Linked DNA regions of Arabidopsis thaliana. The protein of the gene in region 3 purifies or fractionates together with the protein of the main gene of each other region. This does not show direct contact. Each region holds a gene or a part of one and is shown on either strand. Other genes may lie near its edges.

Region 1 (8,842 bases), on a different chromosome or scaffold from region 3:
TTGAAGAAACATAAGTCTGATGAAGAGAGTAATAACAGCGCGAAGGCGAAAATAGAAACCGAGCAAACACAGAAGGCACAAAGAGAGAGAGAGAGAGAGAGAGAGAGCCCACACCTCAGAAAATAATGTCTGAATCCTTCTCAGCACCACCAACAAGGAAGTTACGAGCAGCGTTTATCGAAATCCCTCTCTGCATAGAGATGTCTTCAAGAACCATTTCCTCAGCAAACTCCTTAGCATTAGCTGCCTGTCGTTCGACTTCCCTCCTCTTGTATCCCTGAATCTTCTTCAACCTGAAGAAATCCTCTCTCTCAAGCTCATCAAGCTCTCCCTTGATGTAACTGATTGTATTCTCCAGCTTTGGTTTCACCACATTCTCCAGAGCGTTGACCCTACGGTTAGTCGTCTTGATTGCTTCATCAAGGGTCAAGAAAGAAGTCTGGAGAGAAGCAAGCTCAACTAGAACTTCAATGGCTTTCACATAAGCAACACGGCAAGCTCGGACCTGTTGACCACCTCTAGCTAAACCGGTCAAGTCATTCTTGGTCTCACCTTCAGAGAAGTGATCAAACTTAGGCAGCTTCACTCCAGCGATATTCTCTGTCCGAGAACGAACCTTCAAAGTAGCTTCTTTAACGTTCTCGAGGACAACATGTTTGACATTGTCACCAGCAACATACTTTACTTCGGTAAGAGCAAAAGACGATGTCTTCATCATATCTCCCATAGACTCCTTAGCTGTAACGATTTTCTTGAGAAGTGCCCTAAACTGAACAGTTAAAGCATCACTCTTTTTCTTGAGGAGAGCATGACCTCTTGTAGCGCCAACAAGACGAGCTTTCATAACCCCGAGCATAGTAACAGTGGGAACCACATTCAAACGCGCGTTTTGGCCAGCCATATTTCAAAACTACAGCAAATGAAAGAGATGGGATTAAACAAGGACACAAACAGACTTACTCTATTGACAGAAGCCAACAACAGAAGATGATTTTTCGATGATGCGAAACAATACTTGCATCATTGAGGAAAGAGATCAACATGGAAATCTCGTAAATTCTGGTTTACTAATTATAATTGAACAAACACGCAAAGATTCTTAAGTTTCACTAGGAAAATCTTAGGCTAATGAACCAAGCACCCAATCATTATCTCGAACGATCCATACAGAGATTCATCAGATTATCCATTTTTTGTTCCCAGATTGAATCAAAGTCTACGAATTTTCTAATTGAATCAAAGTCTACGACTTTAGGATAGATCGTTTCCCAGAAGATGAAATCTAGATCACAGAACACACCTAATCAATTGGACTCAGAATTGAGCAGTCAGGTTATATGGATACACGCCTAAATTTCCCACCAGATTCAATTGTTTCAAACCAAACTAAGAGAAGAAAAGAGTGAGATTTGGGATTGACATACCTGGGCCTCTCAAAAGGTGAATTCTTAACAAGTAAATCACTGAAATTAGATTGGAAGAAGCCAAAGAGAGAAAGAGAGATAGGAAGACAATGAAAATTGATATTAATTCAGAACTGTCGACAGGGGTAAGAAGATCGTATTCGACCTCGTCGCTGTGATCGTGGAGAAGAAAGAAATGGGCTAATTGTGTAATTAACCGTAAATATAAAGGGCTTATTTTTTACAAATAAAATAAATACGTATACAGCTCATCACGTATGGTGGGGCCTACTTTCGTGTCCTAAATCTGAGACCCATCACTTTCGTCTTTAGACGCGGTGAACTATATATCTCACGTTCTTATTTAGTGCTTAGGACAAAAACAAAACTCGGCCAAATACATTTTTTCATTTCCAAGTTTCAGGGATGAAATCTTGTTGTATAGAGTTTCCAAATGGTTGAGGAGAAAATAATCTCTCATTCAACACTATATTGTATGACATTTTTTTAAAAGGATATGATTTGGTGGTTAACTAATTATTCCGAATCAATGTGTGATATATAAAAAATCTTAGAACTAAAGCAATGTGTTATATTAACTAAAGAAGAATAAGAAGATCTTCTTTTAGAACTTTCCTCACAAAAGGCACAATATCTATCAAAAGTTATGTCTTAATTTCCTATACCAACTTAATTATTAGATGGAATTGATTATAGAACCACTATACTTAAGATATGTTTTAAATCATAAATTTTAAAATAACAGACAAACAAATGAAAAACAAATTCAATAGTATGTAGATTATTGAGTGTTTTAACTATAAGGAGAAAGAAAACAACACACATTGTTGAGAAGACCCTTTTGGTTTTCGTCATTATTGCTGCATATATGTTCAATTACCAATCTCATCTTGATTTGTTGTCTACTATCTTCTTACTGTTTCGGTTATATTTAATTTAGATTTGAACTGTTTTTATCACTTTATGATTATTGTTCAACATCATATTCTTAAAAACATGCTATAATACACAAATATTTTTATTTTATTTTGACAACTTATACATACATAGACACACACACATGTATTACTAACTCGAGGTCGGATGGGGTTTACCCAAACTATATTTTATATAAGCATATATATTCTTTATATATATTTGTATATTCGCTTGGCTTTCCGAGTCAAATTTCATATTAGTAGTATAGGAACGAGACTTGACCCAGCTAACGCCTTCTTGATGCATTCGAAATGGAAACTTGACCCAACTGATCCAAATCCGAATCACAGCTTGGTTCTTTCTCTCACTGTCTCGTAATGCCTTATCCCCGCTCCAGTATAGACCTGTGCCAAAAAAAACTTTTGATCTATTCAAAAACTGCATATATCCATTAAAAATTGTATTACTCATGAGCCAAAAAAAGAAGAAGGTTCAAGTCATTAATATATCCAAGAGTGTATGTATCTATGCATAATGTATAATCTCATGAGCAAAAAAGAAAACTTAATTACTCATTGATCTATCAAAAAGTGTCTTTATTAGCCATGAGCCAATGTTATCTAAACAAAGTCACTTATATATTAAAGGTGTATTTTACCTGTTGGGGTCTCATGATCTTTGTGTCAGGATCATCTAAAGACTCACGCCAGTGTGACAAGTATCCAGCGATACGTGATACTGCGGTGAATGATGATGGGATTCCCATTGCCCTGTGTTTTGGCCCATTTCAGTTACCAACAAAAAAGATTCAAATAAAGAAAGAACTCAATGGTTACAACAACTCATTAGTCAGAATTTGTTAGATAACTAATCAATGTCTTACCTATTGATTAATCCAGAGTAGAAATCAACATTTGGGTACAGCTTTCTCTTAACAAAATATTCATCAGAAAGTGCCGCCTTCTCTAGAGCATCTCCTACCTGAAAACATTATTTATACACCAAATATTTTCTTAAACCAAATTCATCATACATATGAAGGATTCAACAAGGAAACGTGAGCAACAAGAATACAGAGTACCTCAACCAGAGGATCCCTTCCAAGAATGGAGAACACTTCATCCGCCAGTTTCTTAACGACTTTTCCTCTGGGATCGTAGTTTTTGTAAATGCGGTGTCCAAAACCCGACAACCTCCTCTTCCTGGAATAAAAAGAGTTAACATTAATGGAATATTGACCATCACATTCTAGGTATACTCTCTAAGAATTGAGTTACTTATTCTTCACGCTTTCAATGAACTCTGGAATATTTTCAACAGTCCCAATCTCTGATAACATGTTAATCGTAGCCTCAACTGCACCACCATGAAGGGGACCATAAATGGCTCCAACACCTCCCGAAACAGCAGTATACACATCACCACCACTACATAAACAGAGGATTTATGTGCTGATTAAAAAGTATCTCATAGCAGACTCAAATGAATCTCTAACCAATGATAAGTAGTACCTAGAGGAAAGGTGCCTAGCAGCAGCAGTAGAGCAGTTCATTTCATGTTCAGCTTGCAGTATGAAGAGGATGTCCAGCACTCGAGCCAAACGAGGATTAGGCTTGTAAGACCTATCTCCCCTGTAATCAATGGAAGATGAGACTAAACAAGTGCACAGTTTTATGGCTACCATCTCCAAATCAAACAAAGAGGGACAATAACGTACATTGATTCCACCATATAGAGGAAATTCTCTGAATAAGAAAGGTTGCTCAAAGGTTGAACAGGAGGCTTGCCTGCCTTCCTCAAATAAGCAGCTGCTGCAATTGTTGGGGCCTGCAGACACGTTATATTATAATTCATAGTCCGGTTATACATTGAGGCACCAAATCACACAGACAGAACAATACCTGTCCAAGAACACGAACAATCTGTTTATCACGAACTTGTTTTGACTTGTAAACACCTAGGCCCTGCACCAAATGGGGATTTCCATGTCGGCGTGGAAATTTTCAGAAGAAAGCAGGATTATAAAAACGTAACTTACCATAAGAGACGGATTTGCATCAGGATAAAAGATGGAAAGTGCACTCATTGCAGTGACAAGAGCTCCTACTGGATGTACATCATTAGGCATGGACTGTATCATATCCTGTGAAAACATTCAGATAAATCATCTCACCTCGAAGATCTAGAGAAAGTTAGGAAAGAGTAGAAGAAACTCACCAATACTCCTTGTGGCACAGCTGAATTCTGAGAAATCGCAAACTCCCAATCAGCTAGCTGTCTTTGAGAAGGCAGATTCCCATAAACTGCATGCAAAAACAAAAAAAGCAGTAGTAAACTAGAGCACTAAGGGAGACAAAATTTTAAAGAAATACCCACACAAAAGCAAGACTATGAGCTATACAAGATGATCAAGATGATCATAATTAAGCAACAACAATGAGCTATACAAGATGATCAAGACTTACTTAGGAGATAAGTAACCTCTGTATAAGTACTTTTCTCAGCCAACTCCTCAACTGGGTATCCCCGATAACGTAGGATTCCCTCATCTCCATCGATGTAAGAAATCGAAGATCGAACAGGAGCCGTGTTTAAGTAACCAGGATCGTATAAGTTAAGCCCCTTGTCATCCTTCCCTGTCGTTATCTTCACACCAAACATGAAAATCCATTTATACACACTCACACAATATACAAAAAACAATCTATTCGTAGTACTAATGGCCACAATGAAGAAATAACTTCAGCATAAAAACTCATTATATATACCTTCTTGAGATCAACGGTTTTAACGGTACCATGCTCTGAGACTGGGACCTGATATTCATTCCCCGTACGCTCATCGACGATCTTCAAATTTCCTTTAAGCGATCCATGCGGTGCAGCGGTTATGTGAGCCGATGTGCACCATGGTTCGATCGCTGGCAACACCTGATTCGGCTCAGATACTGTCAAGTGCGCATTGAGAACGGCTAATCGAGCTCTAGCTCTCTCCGAAATCTCCATTTGTCACCTCAAAAAGATCACAATTCAAGAAAGGGAAGCGAATAAGAAACCAAGTGGCTGTTGTAGTTCAAAGTGATATATAGGCATGCATGGTTTTATAGTGGGGAAATTTGATAATTTCATTACGTAACACTTTTGTCTTAATACTTTTGTGGGTATGATTGGCGTGAATCTACAGTGTCTTCTTTGTCTTCAATCAGAGTTTTGTGGCTTTTAACCAATTTTAAGTATGTGTCTCTGCGACAGTTATGTATTGTTTTGGTTGCTTCTTACTTCTTTCTGTTAATCAGTGTCAGGTACTCCAGGGTTTGTTATTTAACGTCACTTTTCTTTTATATTTGTTCACACTTCTCACAATTGTTCTCATTTGAAATGGAAATATTATTGGCAATAATGCAAAATGATAGGAAACTTTCAGGCAAATTATAAATACCGTACAAAAAAATATGATATGATGTTCAATGAGTGGTTAGCTTATTGTTATCACTTGGAATCTGCATAACATATTCACCCTAAAAATAACATTCAGTTAATCCTAAATGATATGATTTGGTGGTTGACATTTTCCAAACCAATGTGTTAGACATGTCTTCAGAAATTAACATTAACAGGAATAAAAGCGCAATTTATCAAAAGTACATGTCGTTCCCTATAACAAGATTATTATTATTAAATCATAACATTTTAAAATAACAGACAAACAATAAGAATAGGGTTGTATTATTAAGTGTTTAAGAATAAGAGAAAGAAAACAACACATGTTGTTGAGAAGACTCTCTTGTTTTCCCAGAGGTATCCCAATGTTTTCTTCTTTATTGGTGAGTATTAGGATTGAGACTAAAGGGCAGATGATCCAGCTAAACGCCTTCTTGATGCATTCGAAATGGAAACTTGACCAAACTTATCCTTATCCGAATCACTTGATAACGTTCGTTCTCTCACTGGCTCGTAATGCCTCATCCACACTCCAGTATAGGCCTATATGCAGCCACACAATTCAGTTAGCTCAAACTATAAACCTTTTGATCTATCAAACAAGTTATGTATTTTACCTGTTGGGGTCTCATGATCCTAGTGTCAGGATCATCTAACGACTCACGCCAGTGTGACAAGTATCCAGCCATACGCGGGACTGCGAACAGGACTGTGAAGAATTCTGGTGGGAATCCCATTGCCCTGTGTTTTTCCCCCATTTCAATTACCAACACAAGGTTCAGGTAAAGAACTTAATGGTTACAGGGTCTATGTCAGATGAATCAGCAATGTCTTACCTATAGATTAATCCAGAGTAGAAATCAACATTTGGGTACAGCTTTCTCTTAACAAAATATTCATCAGACAGTGCCGCCTTCTCTAGAGCAACTGCTACCTGAAAACATCATCCGTCAAAACAAAATTTAACCCACAGTCATGTTATATAAGAATTTTTTTGACAACCAAATACTAGGAGAGATACGTGAGCACAAGGATCTACAGTACCTCGATGAGAGGATCCCTACCAACAATGGAGAACACTTCATCTGCCAGTTTTTTTATAACTTTTGCTCGGGGGTCATAGTTTTTGTAAACACGATGTCCAAAACCTGACATCTTCCTCTTTCTGAGAACATAGAAAAGGGATATAACATTACCGGCATGACTCACCACAATTCAGAGTACTTGGTGCTTGTAGTTATTAAGCATTGAGTTACCTGTTCTTCACGCCTTCAATGAAATCTGGAATATTTTCAGCAGTCCCAATCTCTGCTAACATCTTAAGCACGGCCTCGTTCGCGCCACCATGAAGTGGACCATAAAGCGCCCCAACAGCTCCAGCACATGCGGTGTACACATCAACACCACTGCAGAAACACAATACTGATTTAAACACTCAAAGAAGTCTAAATGAATATCTCTAATCAGTGATAACTGATAAGTACCTAGAGGCAAGATGCCGAGCAGCAGCAGTAGAGCAGTTCATTTCATGTTCAGCATGCAGTATGAAGAGGATGTCCAGCACTCGAGCCAAACGAGGATTAGGCTTGTAAGACCTATTGCCCCTGTAATCAATTGAAGATTAAAGAATGTATCCTGTGTTACAGACACGTTTGAAGCTTGAAACAGATTTAAACTGACTAAAGAAACACAGTTTTTCTGACTACCCTTTTAAAATGCAAGTGTTAAATCAAATAAAGACAGAAGAAAGAGGGGAAAGTACATTGAATCCAGCATATAGAGGAAATTCTCTGAATAAGAAAGGTTGGCCGAAGGAAGAACAGGAGGCCTGCCTGCCGTCCTCAAATAAGCAGCTGCTGCAATTGTTGGTGCCTGCAAACACGTTGTAAACCCTTTTTCTAGTCCCGCAACTTATACACAGATACGTTAAGGAAACAAATCATCAACAGATAGAACAATACCTTTCCGAGAATGCGAACAATCTGTTTATCACGAACTTGTTTTGACTTGTAAATGTCTTGGCCCTGCACCCAATGAAAGAAAATCGAGTTGGCATAGCCATTTTCAGAAAAAGGCATCTTGACAGTACGAAAAGAACAGGATTTCAAAACTTACACTAAGAGCAGGATTTGCATCAGGGTGAAAGATAGAAAGTGCACTCATGGCACTCACAAGAACTCCCATTGGGTGTGCATCATGAGGCATGGACTGTATGATATCCTGCAAAAACATTCAGAAATCGTCTCAGATCAAAAATCCATAGAAAATTCTTTTACTAAGCATATACACATAACTATATTCACAACGGCGAGTAAGACATAAGGTACTAATACTAGAAAGAGATCCAGTATCCTTAATAGACATGGTTTACAAGCAAGACAAACAACTTGTACACTTGACAAGAAATCATTTTCAAAATCCCTCTTTGGTTTGGATTTGCATTCTGATACAAAGTTTGGAATTTGCACTAGTATGAAAATCCAAATAACGAAAGAGTAGAAATTTCACCAATACTCCTTGTGGCACAGCTGAATGCTGAGAAACAGTGAACTCCCAATCAGCTAGCTGACTTTGAGAAGGCAGATTTCCATACACTGGAGACAAAAAAAGGGGAATTTTAACACGACACTAAGAGAGACACAATTTTCAAGACATTTTCTTTTCCACAAGTAGACGCCACAAAAGTAAAATAAGCAACAACAACAACAAGAATAAGCAACGAGATTGATAAAGACTTACTGAGGAGATAAGCAACCTCAATAAAAGTACTGCTCTCAGCCAACTCTTCAATTGGGTATCCCCGATAACGTAAGATTCCTTCATCTCCGTCGATGTAACAAATCGAAGATCGAACCGGAGCCGTGTTCAAGTAACCAGGATCGTACAACTTCAGCCCCTTATCATCCTTCCCCGTCGTTATCTGCACACCAAACATGCAAATCCATCAAATTCCTTATCATATTCAGGGAAAATTAGGTGAGACGAATCAAAATTCAGATAAAACTAACTCGATTCCACAATTCTGTTCAGGATTACAAATCCGTTACATACCTTCTTGAG
Region 2 (8,142 bases), on a different chromosome or scaffold from region 3:
GAGCAATCAGTAAACATCATCGACGCCATTTGTTTACTAGGCAAACAGAAGAAAACAAAGTAGATTGTTTCTAAGTTAACGTGTGTGTAAAGGTAGATATAGAAGATATGTACTTATCTTAAATCCATTAGGAATTATCTCCTAGAATCATTATTAGTTTATATCATATCATAATTATCTAACGATTTCATGTCTGTAGTAACAAAGGAAGAAGACTAAGATGCAAACAAAAAACCACCTATTTTTGTTATCCAAAAAAACATCTTTAACATAAAACATATGAATAAACGAGAAAGCCATAAAGGTTCCAACACAAAACCAAAAAGAAAAACATAGGCAAATGCATCTCTAAACAGATAAAGACTAAACATATTTAGCCATCAAAGATCTCATCTCATGCACAACGTCAATCTTCTGCCACGTCGTTTTGAGCTCATCAGCTTGCATGGACTTCACCTTTTCTTCTATCCTCTTCCTCTTCTTCACCGGTACCAAACTCCAATTCTTCTTCCATGTCTCTTCATCAACCCCCGGACCCAATTCTTTAAACGCACCATCAACAAACGACCTCTCGAACCAATCACTTTCTTCATCAACCTTAAGCTTCTTCTTCTTTGGCTTCACAAGAGCAGTAGCATCACCATCACTTACCCAAATTATCTCAGCCAATTCGTAACACTTCTTATCATGCTCTGTAGTAGTTTTCTTGTTCTCAATATACTTTCTCTTCATAGACCGGATTTTGTTAACGAACTGATCAGTCTTCACCTCAAAGCTAATCGAATCTTTAAGTTTTTCGAAAAAGCCATTCATGTCCTCGGAAACATTCTTACCTGTATCCTTAGCAAATTTGATCATTCCTTGAAGAAAGACGATCTCGTCTTCATCAGTCCACAATCTCTGAAACAACAGTGGCTTCTTCCCCGTCTCTGTTTCAGTCTTGGCTCGTTCCTCCTCTGGTTTTCCTTCACTTTGTCTCTTCTCATTCGAAGAAGAAGGAGCAGCAGCAGCAAGAGTCATCGGCTCAGCTTCAGTGTCAGACTCACTCTCCGATCCCGACTCTGAATCGCTGGAAGGCTCATCTTCCTCCTCCTCCTCAGATGAAGTTGATGCGACGGCTTCCAACGGCTTCTTGACCGGAGATGTGACACCCGACGGTTTCTTCGCTGGAGATGCGACTCCCGACAGTTTCTTTGACGTAGATGCGACGTCAGATGACTTCTTCACCGTTGATGGAGTAACCAAAGTCTTGTTCTTGGCCATCGGAGAGAAACGAGAGAGAAATTTGGTAGGGTTTTTAAATAAAAAATTGAGAAGTTGGTCAGTTTTAAGGTTTTGCACCGAAACCATATATTGCATTTGGTTCTTTCCTTAATTACAAGTATCATAAATCTTTGACCAATTTTACGGGGTTTATGGTGTACATCTAAAATTCAAAAAGTAAATGTTAATAAATCTAATTTTGGTAACTGAATTTCCGATTGGTATTTTTAGTATATTAAAAAAATTAAAACTAAATGCTAACTAATCGAGTAATCTTTCTTTAATTGTTTAATGAGATCAATGATTCAGTTAATCAGTAATTACTAATCGAGTAATATCTTTTTTATTTAATTACAATTATCATAAATCACATTAATTGTTTTGACTAATTTTACGGGGTTTATGGTGTACATTTAAAATTCAAAAAAACTAAATGCTACTAAATCCGATTTTGGTAACTGAATACCTTCTTTTAATTTTACGGGGTTTATGGTGTATAATACTATAATCCCTCTTTTGTAAAAAAGAAGAAAGAAATTTAAACTCTATAGAGTTTGTTTTTGGAGCAAAGATGCTAGAGTTTAAATTTCTTTATATTCTTCAGAGAACTCTCTGTCCCCAAAAAGGATTACTGCTAAACCAGGACTGATTAGTTTCTCCATTCTTGAAGTTTCGACTCTGATCTCCTGCATGATACTTAGTTCCACAGCCGTTTGATCAAATACCATCGCCTCATCAGCTGAACAGAAAAGTAAAATCTTAAGAGTTGGATATCTGAAAATACGTAAGCAATTGGATGAAAAGGTTTAGTCTATACAAGAGGAGCGAATGGAGAGAATGTGGCCACGTCCGGGCACAGTGGTATAAGAGGAGCGCATGCGGCCACGTCCGGGCGCAGTGGTGGGAAAGCTTGAGTTGGCTGACGCACCAGCGGGGCAGGAAAGCACCGTTGAGGCGGTTCAAATCGATGAGACGCGAGGTCGTGGAGAAGGAGCAATCGGTTAACATCAACGACGCCATTATTTTACTAGGAAAACAGAACAGTGGTCGTGGCTTCGAGCTCAAGTTAGGGTTTAACAAAAGTAATGTAGAACAAGTGACTGTGTTTTCTTGTTTCAAATTAACCTTCGTTGAAAGGTAGTTATAAATAAAGTATAATGACGAAGAGACCGATGGGTGAGGCTGGGATATATCATAGCTGGGATAAGTTAAAACTAGTTCTGACTCAAAATACCAAGAAGAGACAAACAATGTTGAAGACAATTTATGTGACTTAAAAACTACATGTTTTGTTTCATAGAACAAAACGATAACTTTCTTTAAAGACCAAAGTAAATCATTGGCTTCAAAAAACAGAGTACGATTTGTTTGTTTCCCAAAAGGCCAGCAATCTTCTTTTTAAGTGACGTCACTGGAAGTTGTGAATCCTCTTAGCTGATGTTAAAGTGTTGGATAGAAGCATGGCTATGGTCATTGGTCCTACACCGCCAGGAACAGGTGTGATGGCTGATGCAACTTTGCTAGCCTCCTCGTAGCAAATGTCTCCAACCAATCGATATCCACGCGCAGCACTTGGATCCTGCAATTCATATTATGTACATGTATGAATGTTGCATACTGGTTGATTTGAAACTTATTATATCACTGAATTACGCCATGACCATATGTCAAAAAGAAAATTCCACTCACCTCAACAGGATTAATCCCAACATCGATGAGGACTGCGCCCGGTTTTATCCAGCTTCCTCTGACCATGTTTGGCTGTCCAACAGCTGAGATTATAATATCAGCTTCTCTTGTGATTTCTTCAGGGTTCTTGGTTCTTGAATGGATAATGCTAACGGTTGCATCCTCCCTCTACAAATACAAAACACAACAATAAAGACCAAACATGTAACTAACTTTCGAATGTCACAACCAGAAAAAACGGCATCTTAAAGAAGGTATCATCATCATTACCTGCAGTAAAAGAGCAGCTGGCATACCGACAATGTTACTCCTTCCGATAACAACCGCTCTCTTTCCTTTGATTTCAATGTTGTATCTATGCAACAACTCAATGCATCCTTTTGGAGTACAAGGAACGAATAAGGGTTCTCTTCCACGCATGGCAAGCCGTCCAATATTTAGCGGATGAAATCCGTCAACATCTTTCTCTATACTAACCGCATTCAGTATGTTCTGTTCATCCATATGCTGCAACAACATCCCAAAACACTATTGTAATTCACTGTTTATTTAAGTTCCGAAGAAAGTTATTAGACTTTGTTTACCGATGGCAGAGGCAACTGAACAAGGATTCCATGGACAGAAGGATCATCATTGAATCCTGATACAGATTTCAACACCTCTTCTTCTGATGAATCTTCAGCTAGACGAACTTCGAACGATTTGATTCCAACGGAGTCACAAGCTTTCTTCTTGTTCCTCACATAAGTTGCAGAATCTTTTCTGTCACCAACAAGGATTACTGCTAAACCAGGAATCACACCAATTGATTCCTTCATTCTTGAAACTTCAATTGTGATTTCATCTCTAATCTTTTTTGCCACAGCCTTTCCATCTATTACAATTGCGCCACCCTCTGATTTTGTATCAGCTGTACCAAAAAAAAAAAAAAAAATTTATGATTCCAACATGAGAATAAAGAAACTCAATTTTCCAGGGAAGAACAGTCTAATTGTCTACAAATTTCAATCGATGTCAAGTTCAAATTTGGTGCTCAATTAAGTCAAAAGGTTTAATCATTACCGGAAATGGAAGAAATGGGAGAAGAAGAGGAGCGAATGCAGCAGCCACGGCCAGAAGCAGTGGTCTGTAAACGGAGTTGGCCGACGCATTGACGGAGGAGGAAAGTACCGCTGCTTCGGTTCAAATGGATGAGACGCGACGTCGTGGTGGAGGAGCAATCGGTAAACATCATCGACGCCATTTTTATACAAGGAAAACAGAACAATAGTCTGCTCGTCGTGGCTGAGTTAAAAAGGAAGAAGGTAATGGTGGAGACAGGAAGACTAATGAAGTCTTTTAATTTGTGATCTAGAGCAAAGCAGAGCAGAGAAGAGACGATGAATTGAAGAAGATAACTTCGTCGTCTACGGAGAGTCGGAGAGACTAGGGTTTCTTCTTTTGATATCAACAAGGGTTTAAGTTCATTCAAATCACAAAAGAAACCGGTTTGTTGATTTCACCTGAATTTTCCGGTTTTATTATACCAGTCTTTCGTTTTCTTTTCTTTTTTAATAAATCCAATCGGACCGCTTCATATTTTTAGTAGCTTTTTAATTTGATTAGTCGTCTTAAACTCAGATTAATCATGTAATTAACACTGATCAATATATAAACAATACATGTAAGTTCGTTGACTTACGGTCTATTCTCTATTTGCGGTCTAAAGTACCACACTAGATATATATACCCTTGTGATTTAACTCGAGAGCTCCAACAATCAAAGCTAAATGTACTACAAGTGGTATCAGAGCAAGTCATGTTATTGCGATTGCCAAGATTGTTGAAGGGTGAAGCAAAGGTAGAAAGTACAGACAAATAGTGTCGGATAAATGAGGGATAGATTCACATATTAGACCCAATATGTTGAATACAAATATTATTTGCCTTTGTTTTTCCCCCAGAGGAAAGAAACTAGAGAAATTTCAACACATCATCATCCCATCAAAATTTTGAGAGTTTGTTACTTTTTCTCCGCTAAGATTCTTCAAAATAAGGATTTTGGTTTCTGTACAGTTTTAAGCAAAAGAAGTTGAAATTGTGTGGTCTTACCAGAAGCGAGAAAAAAGGTTAGATAGCGAGTGTGCCTTCAATAATCTGGTTATCGTCAGATGTTTCAGATGGTGATGGTGGTTTTGGTTTGCTCGTACTTCTTGAGAACCCGTAACCTAGAGAGCTTCCACTTGCCTCACATAGCTGTACCATCATAGGATCCATTAAACCGGAGAGTAAGAAGAATTGTAGTTTTTTAAATAGACCAAATATATACCTCAGCTAGTTCAGACAAGTGACGAGATCTGAACTCGTTGATCGTTGTTGCTATTTCTGATGTAGGTAATTTGGCCTGAAAAAGAAGCCGACAAGTTTAACAAATACCCCAAATAACATTGTTGGTGACTTAATGACTACAAGAATTATCTCTTGTACCTGTGCAAGAACAGCAGCTGCTAACTGAAGACTTGGTTCCAGCGTCTCAGGAACAACCTAACGAGTTTTTGTATCGAGATTTTAATCAGTTTACTTTGAAAATGTTGTGCAATGACAGAAGGAGAATAGAAAAGTTGTGGAAGTTATTACAGCGGTAGCGCCGGCTTTTTCAAGATTGAGACCATGATCAACGTCATGTGCACGGACAAAGGTTTTGACATTGGGGAAATATTTGCTAAGAGCCCAGACACACCTGTAATTTGCTCCAGGTGTGTCTAAAGCAATAGCCGCAGCACATGCTCTATCTGCCCCGATTTTGTGGAGTACCTGCACGTATAGGTAAAACAACGTCAATAATTTTGGATGATGTGTGGTTATACTTTTGACTTGTTTCATCAGCTTTCTACTCTTACCTCTCTACTACCAGCGTCTCCAAAATAAACTGGAAGATCTAGGGAACGACCAATTGCTACTCTATCACTGTAAAATAAGAGATTTTTGGTGCGAAATGAGACAAATAAAGAGCTGGTTAGATACATTGAGCAAGACAAGGCAAGCATGTTACATTACCTGCTGACATCGAGGGCAACAAATGGGATAAGTCTTTCAGAAAGAAGCTGAGCGATTATCTGCGTTTAACATTTAGAAAGCAGCGGTCAAAGACGAATTTAATCATATATCACCAAACTATTCTCTAAATCAAACTATCTAAACTTCTAGAGGAGTTTGTTTTCGCAACAAAGTTTATAGATAACGATACCAACCTGCCCAATTCGTCCAAATCCGCAAATAATGATGTGACCCTGTAAATCATCCGTCTGCAAGTAAATTCAGAAAGTAAAGGATCAGTCATTTTTACCCCAAGAATGCATGAGCTTCGGAAGGATATTGAGGTCAATCATGGCTTTATTGTTTTAAATTTACAATTGAAACTAGGAATGGTGATAAATGACTTATTTTAAAGTGTTGTGAAGGAGTACCTCGCTTTCAACTGGTAATAAACTTCGAACATCTTGTAACTCAAATCGAGACGCAATTAATTGGCCGCCAGCAGCTAACCAAGGAGTAAGAGCCATTGATATTCCCACGACGAGAAACAGTAATGAAGATAGCTGCGGAGTCATTATACCCTGGAAGAAATACCAATCAAGCCTTAGAGGAAACATGGGAATAAAGTAGAACTGAAACCTCAGCTGTCATATCCATAAAACATGACAATATCGTTTTCTAGTTTTCATTTAAATGACTAATTGTAAACTAATAGAACTGCTTGCATCATGATGTGAGCCTAACTTTCCAAAAAATAATAGATGGGAAGCATCAAAAACAACCCATATACTCTCCAAGAAACACTGCAGTTACTAAACCCATCGTAAAAAAGCAAAAAACAGAAATCATCATATATATAATAACCTGATTGACAGCTTCTCCAAAAGCAACAAACGCGAATTCTCCACCTGGAGCCAGAAGAAGACCGACCCTCACGGCAGATATGATTGAAATGCCAAACAATTTGCCTATGATCACCACTAATATAGTCTTGCCAACTAATAAGAGTCCTAAGGTCCCCATTATGAGAGGGAAGTTGGCGAGAAGAAGTTTTGGATCAATGGACATGCCCACCTGATTTTATGCAGCTCGTCCCATTAGTTTCATGAACGAGATAAATTGTACTTTAAGAGCTGGAAACAAAATTAGAATCTTACAAGAGCATTTAAGCAGGCCATAACACATTACATATCCTATATATTCCTTAATATCCTATTTATAATAACTTCTGACCATCTCCAAGGAAAACAGTAAACTTATCGATCAGCTATTTTCAAGACCTAGTTCACAAATTACCGTCATGAAGAAGAGTCCCAACAGAAGACCACGGTATGGAGCGATATCTGATTCAACTTGCAAGGAAAATTCAGTCTCTGCAAGTAGTAGACCAGCCAAAAACGCTCCTAATGCCATGGAAAGTCCCGCCTAATTTAAAGAAAGAAACAATTTATCTTAACGAAACAAAAGACAAAGCAAAATTACGAGAATACCAAGCACCAACACGGAAAATCAAGAACATACCCTAGCTGTAAGTAAACTAGTCCCAAGAATAACCAGAAGTGTATTGGCGGAGAATATCTCAGCATTTCGGTTTTCTGCAATTTGCTTGTATATCGGCCGCAGAAGCTGTGTGTACCAGAAAATCAATGCATTGTAAAACTATGATTCAGCACCGCAGAAGCAGCATTAGCTATAGAGTTTCATTATATGTTCATGCAAACCCATTCTATAGAAAATCTAATGTTTTCTCATCACTTATATGGATCTCTCTTTTGTTGTTTAACTTATTCGGATATGAGTCTCAAAACAGAAACTAGAAAACCATTGAGACTTACGAGACGGCCACCAGCAATTATGCCAGTGATAGCAACTGCTGCTTTGATTGCAGCTAGTCCAAGAGCTTCAGCAATGGCTTGAAATCCAATCTGAGAAAAGTAGTTAGCAACTTAGCATTCTCCTCTTACAAAATAATTTATAGGCTTCCTTGAGAAATATGCAAGACAGCAAATATTAGCAACACATGAGCATGAGTATTTCCTTAAAAGAGCAGAGGAAATATTGAACTTACGCCATCTGCCATTACATCACAATAAACACAACACAAAAGGGAAATATAAGTAAAAAAGGGAAACGTTAAAGCTAAGCTTACCCCTCCTTTGGATGAATTAGGTGAAA
Region 3 (7,222 bases):
GGATTTTTTTTCTGTTTCTTCCAAAACCTTCATTGATCTTCTTCCTTCTTCTATACCTTTTGAACCCAATAAATCCAATTATATGCATGTTGCTAAAAGAAATATAAACCCTAAGAGGATGATATATATAGGGAACCCAAATGTTTCAATCTTATACACATATTAAATCAGTTACATATTTGAGAATTCAATTGAATCAACCTTTTCAATTACATGTTTAACAAGGAAGACAAACAAAGAGAATCAAAGATTTAATAAAATCTACACACATGTTGATGGGTAATTTAATTGTTTCTTTGATTGAATTATGGGAAAGGTTGTGTAGAAGAAGAAGAGGACAACATAGACGAGAAAAACAAATTAATTGCTAATAATACGAAGAGTAAAATCGTCAATACAAGAGAGAGAAGTACATAATTGCATAGACACATGATTTTGTGCATGTATCAACAACGACATATACTTTTAAGTGCTTTATTCATAATTGATCCGTAAATTAATTGTTACATAATCTTTCGAAAACTTCCATAACTTTTTTAGAACATTTTTTTTATCTGTCAAAGCTAGAAACATTAATGTGTTCAAACCATTATTGATATTCTTCATTGCCAATAGCCAATTTATGTTTATATTTAAATTCTAAATCCTGAAATGTAAGCTCTAATTCTAAATTCCAAATAAACACTCTGACAGGCCAGCAAAATTCCAAATACTTTAGTAAATATCCACCTACAAAATAAATTTCAAATCGGAAACAATAACTCCCACGGGCCAGCATAATTCTCAGTACAGAATCTTGTCTGTCTCATATTGAAACTTTCTCTTAAGAATAAGATAGACTAAAAAGCATGACTAGCTCTGTAAATGTGATTAATTAATAACCTAAGATTGTTGATTAAGATAAAACATAAAGTTTTAATCAAAAAGTTTGTTAGAGGCGCGCCTATGGAGCGTACAATTGTGTCTTAAAAAAAAAGGTTAAGCCACCAAAATAACAAAAAAGAATAATAATTTTTTTGAAATACGACGAAAGCCACATGCCTTGAACCAAAGTTACCGTTGTCTGAATATGAACCAAACTTAGAAGTAAATCGTTCCCTCATGATCCAACGGTTATATTCTAAATTCTAATCCTAGCCGTTCCTTTTTTAAAATTAAAAACTCAACACTTTTTTTTATTTTGTTTGTATCTTCCTCTTTTGCTTATTTCATCCCCTTCTTCAGATTCTCTTCGTTTAATGCTCTTCTTCTTCTACTCTCTTTGTGGGTTTCTCTTGTAATAATCACAAACCAAAAAAAAAAATGGTTAACTCATGCGAGAACAAAATCTTCGTTAAACCCACTTCAACGACGATTCTTCAAGGTAGTAGATGAATTTGTCGAGTAATATACGAGAATTTCGAGGTGTTTTACAGTTTGCGTAGGAGAATTCTGACAGAATGTGTTGTGTTCTTTTCTGGTTTTGTTTAGATGAAACAAGAAGTAGAAAATTCGGACAAGAGATGAAGAGGGAGAAGAGAAGAGTGTTGCGTGTGATTAACCAGAATCTCGCTGGTGCAAGAGTTTATCCTTGTGTTGTCAACAAGAGAGGAAGCTTATTGTCTAAGTAAATTTAACAAAATCTCTAATCTCTCACAAGTTAGTGTTTTTTTTCAATCTGATTGTGCTTATGGGTTTTGATTGATTTGAATCAGTAAGCAAGAAGAAGAAGAAGGATGTCAAAAGAAGAAGTTTGATTCTTTGCGTCCTTCAGTTACAAGGTACATAAAGCTTGAATCTTTCATTTCGTTTTTTGACTTTAAAGAAAGAAAGATCTGAGTTTGTTTTTGAATCTGCAGATCTGGAGTTGAGGAAGAGACTAACAAGAAGCTGAAGCCCTCAGTTCCAAGTGCTAACGACTTCGGTGATTGTATATTTATTGATGAGGAGGAAGCTACATTGGACCTTCCAATGCCAATGTCGCTTGAGAAACCATACATTGAAGCTGATCCAATGGTAACAACAACAAAACAGAATTCAGAATTTTGTTGATGGATTTAATTCATAAATCAATGATTTACAAGAAAATTTTGATTGGATAGGAAGAAGTTGAGATGGAGGATGTAACAGTGGAAGAACCGATCGTGGATATCGATGTCTTAGACTCGAAGAACTCGCTTGCGGCTGTTGAATATGTTCAAGATCTTTACGCATTTTACAGAACAATGGAGGTAAATTATGGTTTAGTTTTATCTGTTTTTGAAGTAATAAGTGGCTTGAGAGCTTCTTTAAGACAGTTCTTGATTTGAATTTGCAGAGATTTAGTTGTGTTCCAGTAGACTATATGATGCAACAAATCGACTTAAACGAGAAGATGAGAGCAATACTAATCGACTGGTTAATCGAGGTATATTATCAACAACATTCCACATTGTACTGTGTAGTTTGATAGAGGCTAAAGATGCTTGAGTACGTTTTCAGGTACATGACAAGTTTGATCTGATAAACGAGACACTGTTTCTGACAGTGAATCTGATAGATAGATTCTTGTCCAAGCAAAATGTTATGAGAAAGAAGCTTCAGCTTGTAGGGTTAGTAGCTTTGCTGTTAGCTTGTAAGTATGAGGAGGTTTCGGTTCCTGTTGTCGAAGATTTAGTACTCATTTCGGACAAAGCGTATACGAGGAACGATGTTCTAGAGATGGTAAAGGCCTGGCTTCTTTACTTAATAGAAAAAGTAATCTTGTCTCATATATGTTAAAGACATTCTTTGATTAAATGATTTCTTTCTTCTTTACAGGAGAAAACAATGTTGAGTACTTTGCAATTCAATATCTCGTTACCGACACAATACCCGTTCTTGAAAAGATTCCTCAAGGCAGCTCAAGCAGACAAGAAGGTTAGTTAAAAATAATGGACTTATGAATCAGTTTAACTAGAAGTTTGAATTTTAGAAAGGAACTAACTGTGAAACTGAAAACAAAACAGTGTGAGGTCTTGGCGTCGTTCTTGATCGAGCTTGCCCTTGTGGAGTACGAGATGCTTCGGTTTCCACCATCATTACTAGCTGCCACATCTGTGTACACTGCTCAATGTACACTTGATGGTTCCAGGAAATGGAACAGTACATGTGAATTCCATTGTCATTACTCTGAAGACCAGCTCATGTAAGTCTCTCTCTTTTTACCAAGAATGGTCCTTTAAGTCCATAAACAAAACTATTTGCAGGAAAAAAGACTGATCTTTTTAATTGTAATCGCGGGTTTCGCAGGGAATGTTCACGGAAGCTGGTGAGTCTGCATCAGAGGGCGGCGACAGGAAACTTAACAGGAGTATATAGGAAGTACAGCACAAGCAAATTTGGTTACATAGCAAAATGTGAAGCTGCACACTTTCTAGTGTCTGAGTCTCATCATTCTTAATCCAAAAGGACAGTAGTAAGTAGTTTGTACAGCTTCCTGACATAGTTCCCTCATTCACTCTGTAGCACAAATAAGAAGAAACAAAAAAAAAAGCCAATTAAATTTGTCTTATGATTGATTCTGTTTTTTTGTTGTTACTCTTTGTTCACTTCACTTGTCAGTATTAAACTCTACAATGAATGATAAATGATTGAATCATTTCATTCTTTGTTCAGAATGAAATGTATTTTGTATCTTATTTGAGCTAAATACAAAAACAACGTCGTTTTCGTTGTTTTCACTTTGACTTCTCTTTAGATCTCTCTCCCACCAACTCCTTCTTCACACTTCACTAAACTTCAGATACTTTTTGTTTTTTCCTCAAGATCAACGATAATGGCGGCGTCAACGAACTCATTCCTCATCGGAAACCAAACCCAAATCCCTTCTTTGAAACCCAAATCAATATCCCAATCCTTTATCCACTTCACTAAACCCAACACCATCAACCTCACCACCCGAACCAAATCCGTTTCAATCCGATGCGCTTCCGCTTCAACCACCGTCGGATCCGAGCAGCGAGTCATCAATTTCGCCGCAGGTCCAGCCGCATTACCGGAAAACGTCCTCCTCAAAGCTCAATCAGATCTCTATAACTGGCGTGGATCTGGTATGAGTGTTATGGAGATGAGTCATCGCGGTAAAGAGTTTCTCTCAATCATTCAAAAAGCTGAATCTGATCTCCGTCAGCTTCTCGAGATTCCATCGGAATATTCCGTTTTGTTCTTACAAGGTGGTGCCACTACTCAATTCGCTGCTTTACCTCTCAATCTCTGTAAATCTGATGATTCCGTTGATTACATTGTTACTGGATCTTGGGGAGATAAAGCTTTTAAGGAAGCTAAGAAATATTGTAACCCTAAAGTGATTTGGTCTGGTAAATCTGAGAAATATACTAAAGTTCCAACCTTTGATGGATTGGAGCAGAGTTCGGACGCCAAGTATTTGCATATATGCGCCAATGAGACTATTCATGGTGTTGAATTTAAAGATTATCCTCTTGTTGAAAACCCTGATGGTGTTCTTATTGCTGATATGTCTTCGAATTTCTGTTCTAAGCCGGTGGATGTATCGAAGTTCGGTGTGATTTACGCTGGTGCTCAGAAGAATGTTGGTCCTTCTGGTGTCACCATTGTGATCATTCGAAAGGATTTGATTGGGAATGCTAGAGATATAACTCCGGTGATGCTTGATTACAAGATTCATGATGAGAACAGCTCGTTGTATAACACGCCACCGTGTTTCGGGATTTATATGTGTGGTCTTGTGTTTGATGATTTGTTGGAGCAAGGTGGTTTGAAGGAAGTGGAGAAGAAGAACCAGAGGAAAGCTGAGTTGTTGTACAATGCGATTGATGAGAGTAGAGGGTTTTTCAGGTGTCCTGTTGAGAAGTCTGTGAGGTCTTTGATGAATGTTCCTTTTACGTTGGAGAAATCGGAGTTGGAAGCTGAGTTTATTAAAGAAGCTGCTAAGGAGAAGATGGTGCAGCTTAAGGGACATAGATCAGTGGGAGGTATGAGAGCTTCTATTTACAATGCGATGCCATTGGCTGGTGTCGAAAAGCTTGTTGCTTTCATGAAAGATTTTCAGGCAAGGCATGCTTGATTCTTTTTTGTTTTCTAGTCATCTTGTTGTTTATTATGTAAGCTTTGATGCTTATGATTTTGAGTTTTCGTTCCTTCTTCCGGTACTTGAATTGCGATTGTCTGCGGAATTTTTTCAGTAATAATAATTTGAGATAATAGATTTCATTTTCAAGCAAGAATCATTTACACTTTTATGTTTGTCTGAGACTTTTGAGTTGAGACTGAAAACTTCCAGTGAACAAAATCTTTTATTAGACAACTTATTGAGGAAATGCTGAGATTAGCTTATGATGATAAGCAAGAGCATACAAGAATTAGCTTATGATGGTAAGAAATTTGCATACAAAGATCTCATGATGTGCTGTTAGTGTGTCCTTTCTCTGTATCTCCTGCTGAAAGTGATGGTCCTGTTTTCAAGACACGTAAATAGGTAATTCAGATTCAGATCTTTCAGTAAAACTGTAATTTCAGATTCTTCATAGCAGAGTTCATTGTGAGTGTGCAAGTTACCGTTAGATTGTGCCCCTTTGTAACCATCAGCTACATGTCGAAAGAACTCTTTAGTAGCATCTGCATATTCGTTCAAGAACAGTCACTACTAAATCCCGAGCGAGACATATACACAGAGCCAGAAGTATATAAGAATCTGCAAACTCACCGTGTTTCATTGCTAGAGACGGGTCTTGCTCTTCCATGACCCTGATCAGTTTTGCAGGATTTCCAGCCACCACACTTCGAAAATACAAAGAGGGTTTGTTAACTAAACAAAACAGTGCCAGGTCATGAAGATTTGTCAGATGAATTTTCTCTTTTATACCTATGCGAAGGAACGTCTTTTAACACAAGTGAACCTGCAGCTACCATTGCTCCAGCACCTATGCTTATGTTACCAAGTATAGTCACACAAGCTCCAAGCAATGCACCTTCACCTATCTTTGGGTGGCGATCGCCAGTTTCCTTTCCGGTTCCTCCTAAAGTCACACCCTGTGACAGTGAAAACTCAAGTAGCCTTGAAAAACTGAAAGGAAAATCATGATCTCGGTATTGAATTTACAGGCAATGGTTTGGAGAAGAGACGCTTACATGTAAGATCGAGACACCGTTGCCTATCACAGCGGTCTCACCAATGACCACTCCAGTTCCATGATCCAACAATATTCCCTCCCCAATTCTTGCCGCTATGCAGAAAGAGAATTCAAGTAATATGTATAACCAGCAATCAATTCACCGGTAAACCTGATCAACTATTACAACAGAGAAGGGAAACTGAGAATGTTCAAACAGATGAGAGCAGAGATATGAAGCTCAAAACTCTACCTGGATGTATGTCAATGCCAAAAACCTGAGAGAAACCACAGCATAGATCAGACATTGAGCTCAAAAATGCAGCTCCAGCAAGACTCAACCAAAAGACAATGATCACCAACTACCTCGCTTATTCGGCTTTGCAATGCAAGAGCTAATAGTTTCCTCCCTTCATTCCACAGTTTATGCGCAACCCTATATGCTTGTAACGCATGATAACCCTGAAATGCAAGTGGGAAAACTCTTCATAAGTCACTCATTCCATGTGAGAAATGTTCTGTCTCTCAACTTCGAGTAAAGAATTACCTTCAGATGTAAAATAGCAGAACTATACGACAGACAAGCAGGATCACGATCTTTAAATGCCTGCAAATCATTGAGATACATAAGAAAACAACAAAGATCATGTCTTTTTACAGTATTAGGTGGAATGTTTTACCTGGAGATCATGGCGAATCGAACTCTGAATACCTTTGTCATGCATCATAACACCATAAAATATATCCAAGAGTTGTGTTGCCAACAAGGTTGGGTTTTGGAGACGGTTGGCTAGAACAAACCCTAAAGCTTGCTCTAAACAATCATGTGCTAAGATACCAGCATACAAGAAGCTACTCAAAATAGGCTCTTTCTCTGCCTGAAACGCACAACAAGATTCACCATTATAAGATTCAACATTTCACAAACTGTACTCAAACTTTCTTGTCCTATGTTTGGTTGGATTAAATATCAAGGCTTTCAAAGAGAGAAACAAGACTGACTAATTCTAAACCCTAATGGATACTACTATAACAACTGTGGATTAACATGGAGACGCAAAACCATGACATTTACTTTATCTGAACAAGAATAAGAATCGATGAAGCAGAGAAAGTGTTAGAATTTGAGGGAA

The links. Proteins that work in one complex are often made in the same cells at the same time.
Region 1: the proteins of AT2G17630 (region 3) and CSY1 fractionate together in Arabidopsis thaliana (co-fractionation; one large-scale study listed by BioGRID). This does not show direct contact.
Region 2: the proteins of AT2G17630 (region 3) and EMB3127 fractionate together in Arabidopsis thaliana (co-fractionation; one large-scale study listed by BioGRID). This does not show direct contact.

What each region holds. Positions count from the first base shown.
Region 1 is NC_003074.8:21,718,380-21,727,221, forward strand, and holds CSY1 (citrate synthase 1), read right to left. Parts: upstream 5,412-8,842; 5' UTR 5,348-5,411; coding exon 5,111-5,347; intron 4,989-5,110; coding exon 4,808-4,988; intron 4,646-4,807; coding exon 4,560-4,645; intron 4,486-4,559; coding exon 4,381-4,485; intron 4,307-4,380; coding exon 4,244-4,306; intron 4,170-4,243; coding exon 4,060-4,169; intron 3,974-4,059; coding exon 3,854-3,973; intron 3,770-3,853; coding exon 3,620-3,769; intron 3,545-3,619; coding exon 3,424-3,544; intron 3,324-3,423; coding exon 3,226-3,323; intron 3,113-3,225; coding exon 3,001-3,112; intron 2,747-3,000; coding exon 2,687-2,746; 3' UTR 2,394-2,686; downstream 1-2,393. Other genes in the region: AT3G58730 (vacuolar ATP synthase subunit D (VATD) / V-ATPase D subunit / vacuolar proton pump D subunit (VATPD)), read right to left, coding at 116-901; CSY2 (citrate synthase 2), read right to left, coding at 6,185-6,325, 6,400-6,523, 6,619-6,716, 6,827-6,947, 7,039-7,188, 7,267-7,386, 7,545-7,654, 7,744-7,806 and 4 more.
Region 2 is NC_003075.7:256,594-264,735, forward strand, and holds EMB3127 (Amino acid dehydrogenase family protein), read right to left. Parts: upstream 4,697-8,142; 5' UTR 4,196-4,696; coding exon 4,015-4,195; intron 3,863-4,014; coding exon 3,537-3,862; intron 3,460-3,536; coding exon 3,223-3,459; intron 3,121-3,222; coding exon 2,953-3,120; intron 2,843-2,952; coding exon 2,672-2,842; 3' UTR 2,394-2,671; downstream 1-2,393. Other genes in the region: AT4G00600 (Amino acid dehydrogenase family protein), read right to left, coding at 1-17; AT4G00610 (DNA-binding storekeeper protein-related transcriptional regulator), read right to left, coding at 364-1,350; KEA2 (K+ efflux antiporter 2), read right to left, coding at 5,062-5,187, 5,261-5,335, 5,419-5,475, 5,569-5,745, 5,832-5,898, 5,989-6,047, 6,183-6,236, 6,399-6,548 and 5 more. UniProt on the Arabidopsis thaliana protein: Catalyzes the oxidation of 5,10-methylenetetrahydrofolate to 5,10-methenyltetrahydrofolate and then the hydrolysis of 5,10-methenyltetrahydrofolate to 10-formyltetrahydrofolate.
Region 3 is NC_003071.7:7,662,862-7,670,083, forward strand, and holds AT2G17630 (Pyridoxal phosphate (PLP)-dependent transferases superfamily protein), read left to right. Parts: upstream 1-3,686; 5' UTR 3,687-3,775; coding exon 3,776-5,044; 3' UTR 5,045-5,204; downstream 5,205-7,222. Other genes in the region: CYCB2;1 (Cyclin B2;1), read left to right, coding at 1,303-1,363, 1,471-1,606, 1,695-1,760, 1,839-1,995, 2,082-2,210, 2,297-2,386, 2,461-2,682, 2,779-2,877 and 2 more; ATSERAT3;1 (Trimeric LpxA-like enzymes superfamily protein), read right to left, coding at 5,377-5,432, 5,536-5,595, 5,684-5,757, 5,843-6,009, 6,109-6,203, 6,343-6,367, 6,456-6,551, 6,637-6,696 and 1 more. UniProt on the Arabidopsis thaliana protein: Involved in the plastidial phosphorylated pathway of serine biosynthesis (PPSB). Catalyzes the reversible conversion of 3-phosphohydroxypyruvate to phosphoserine.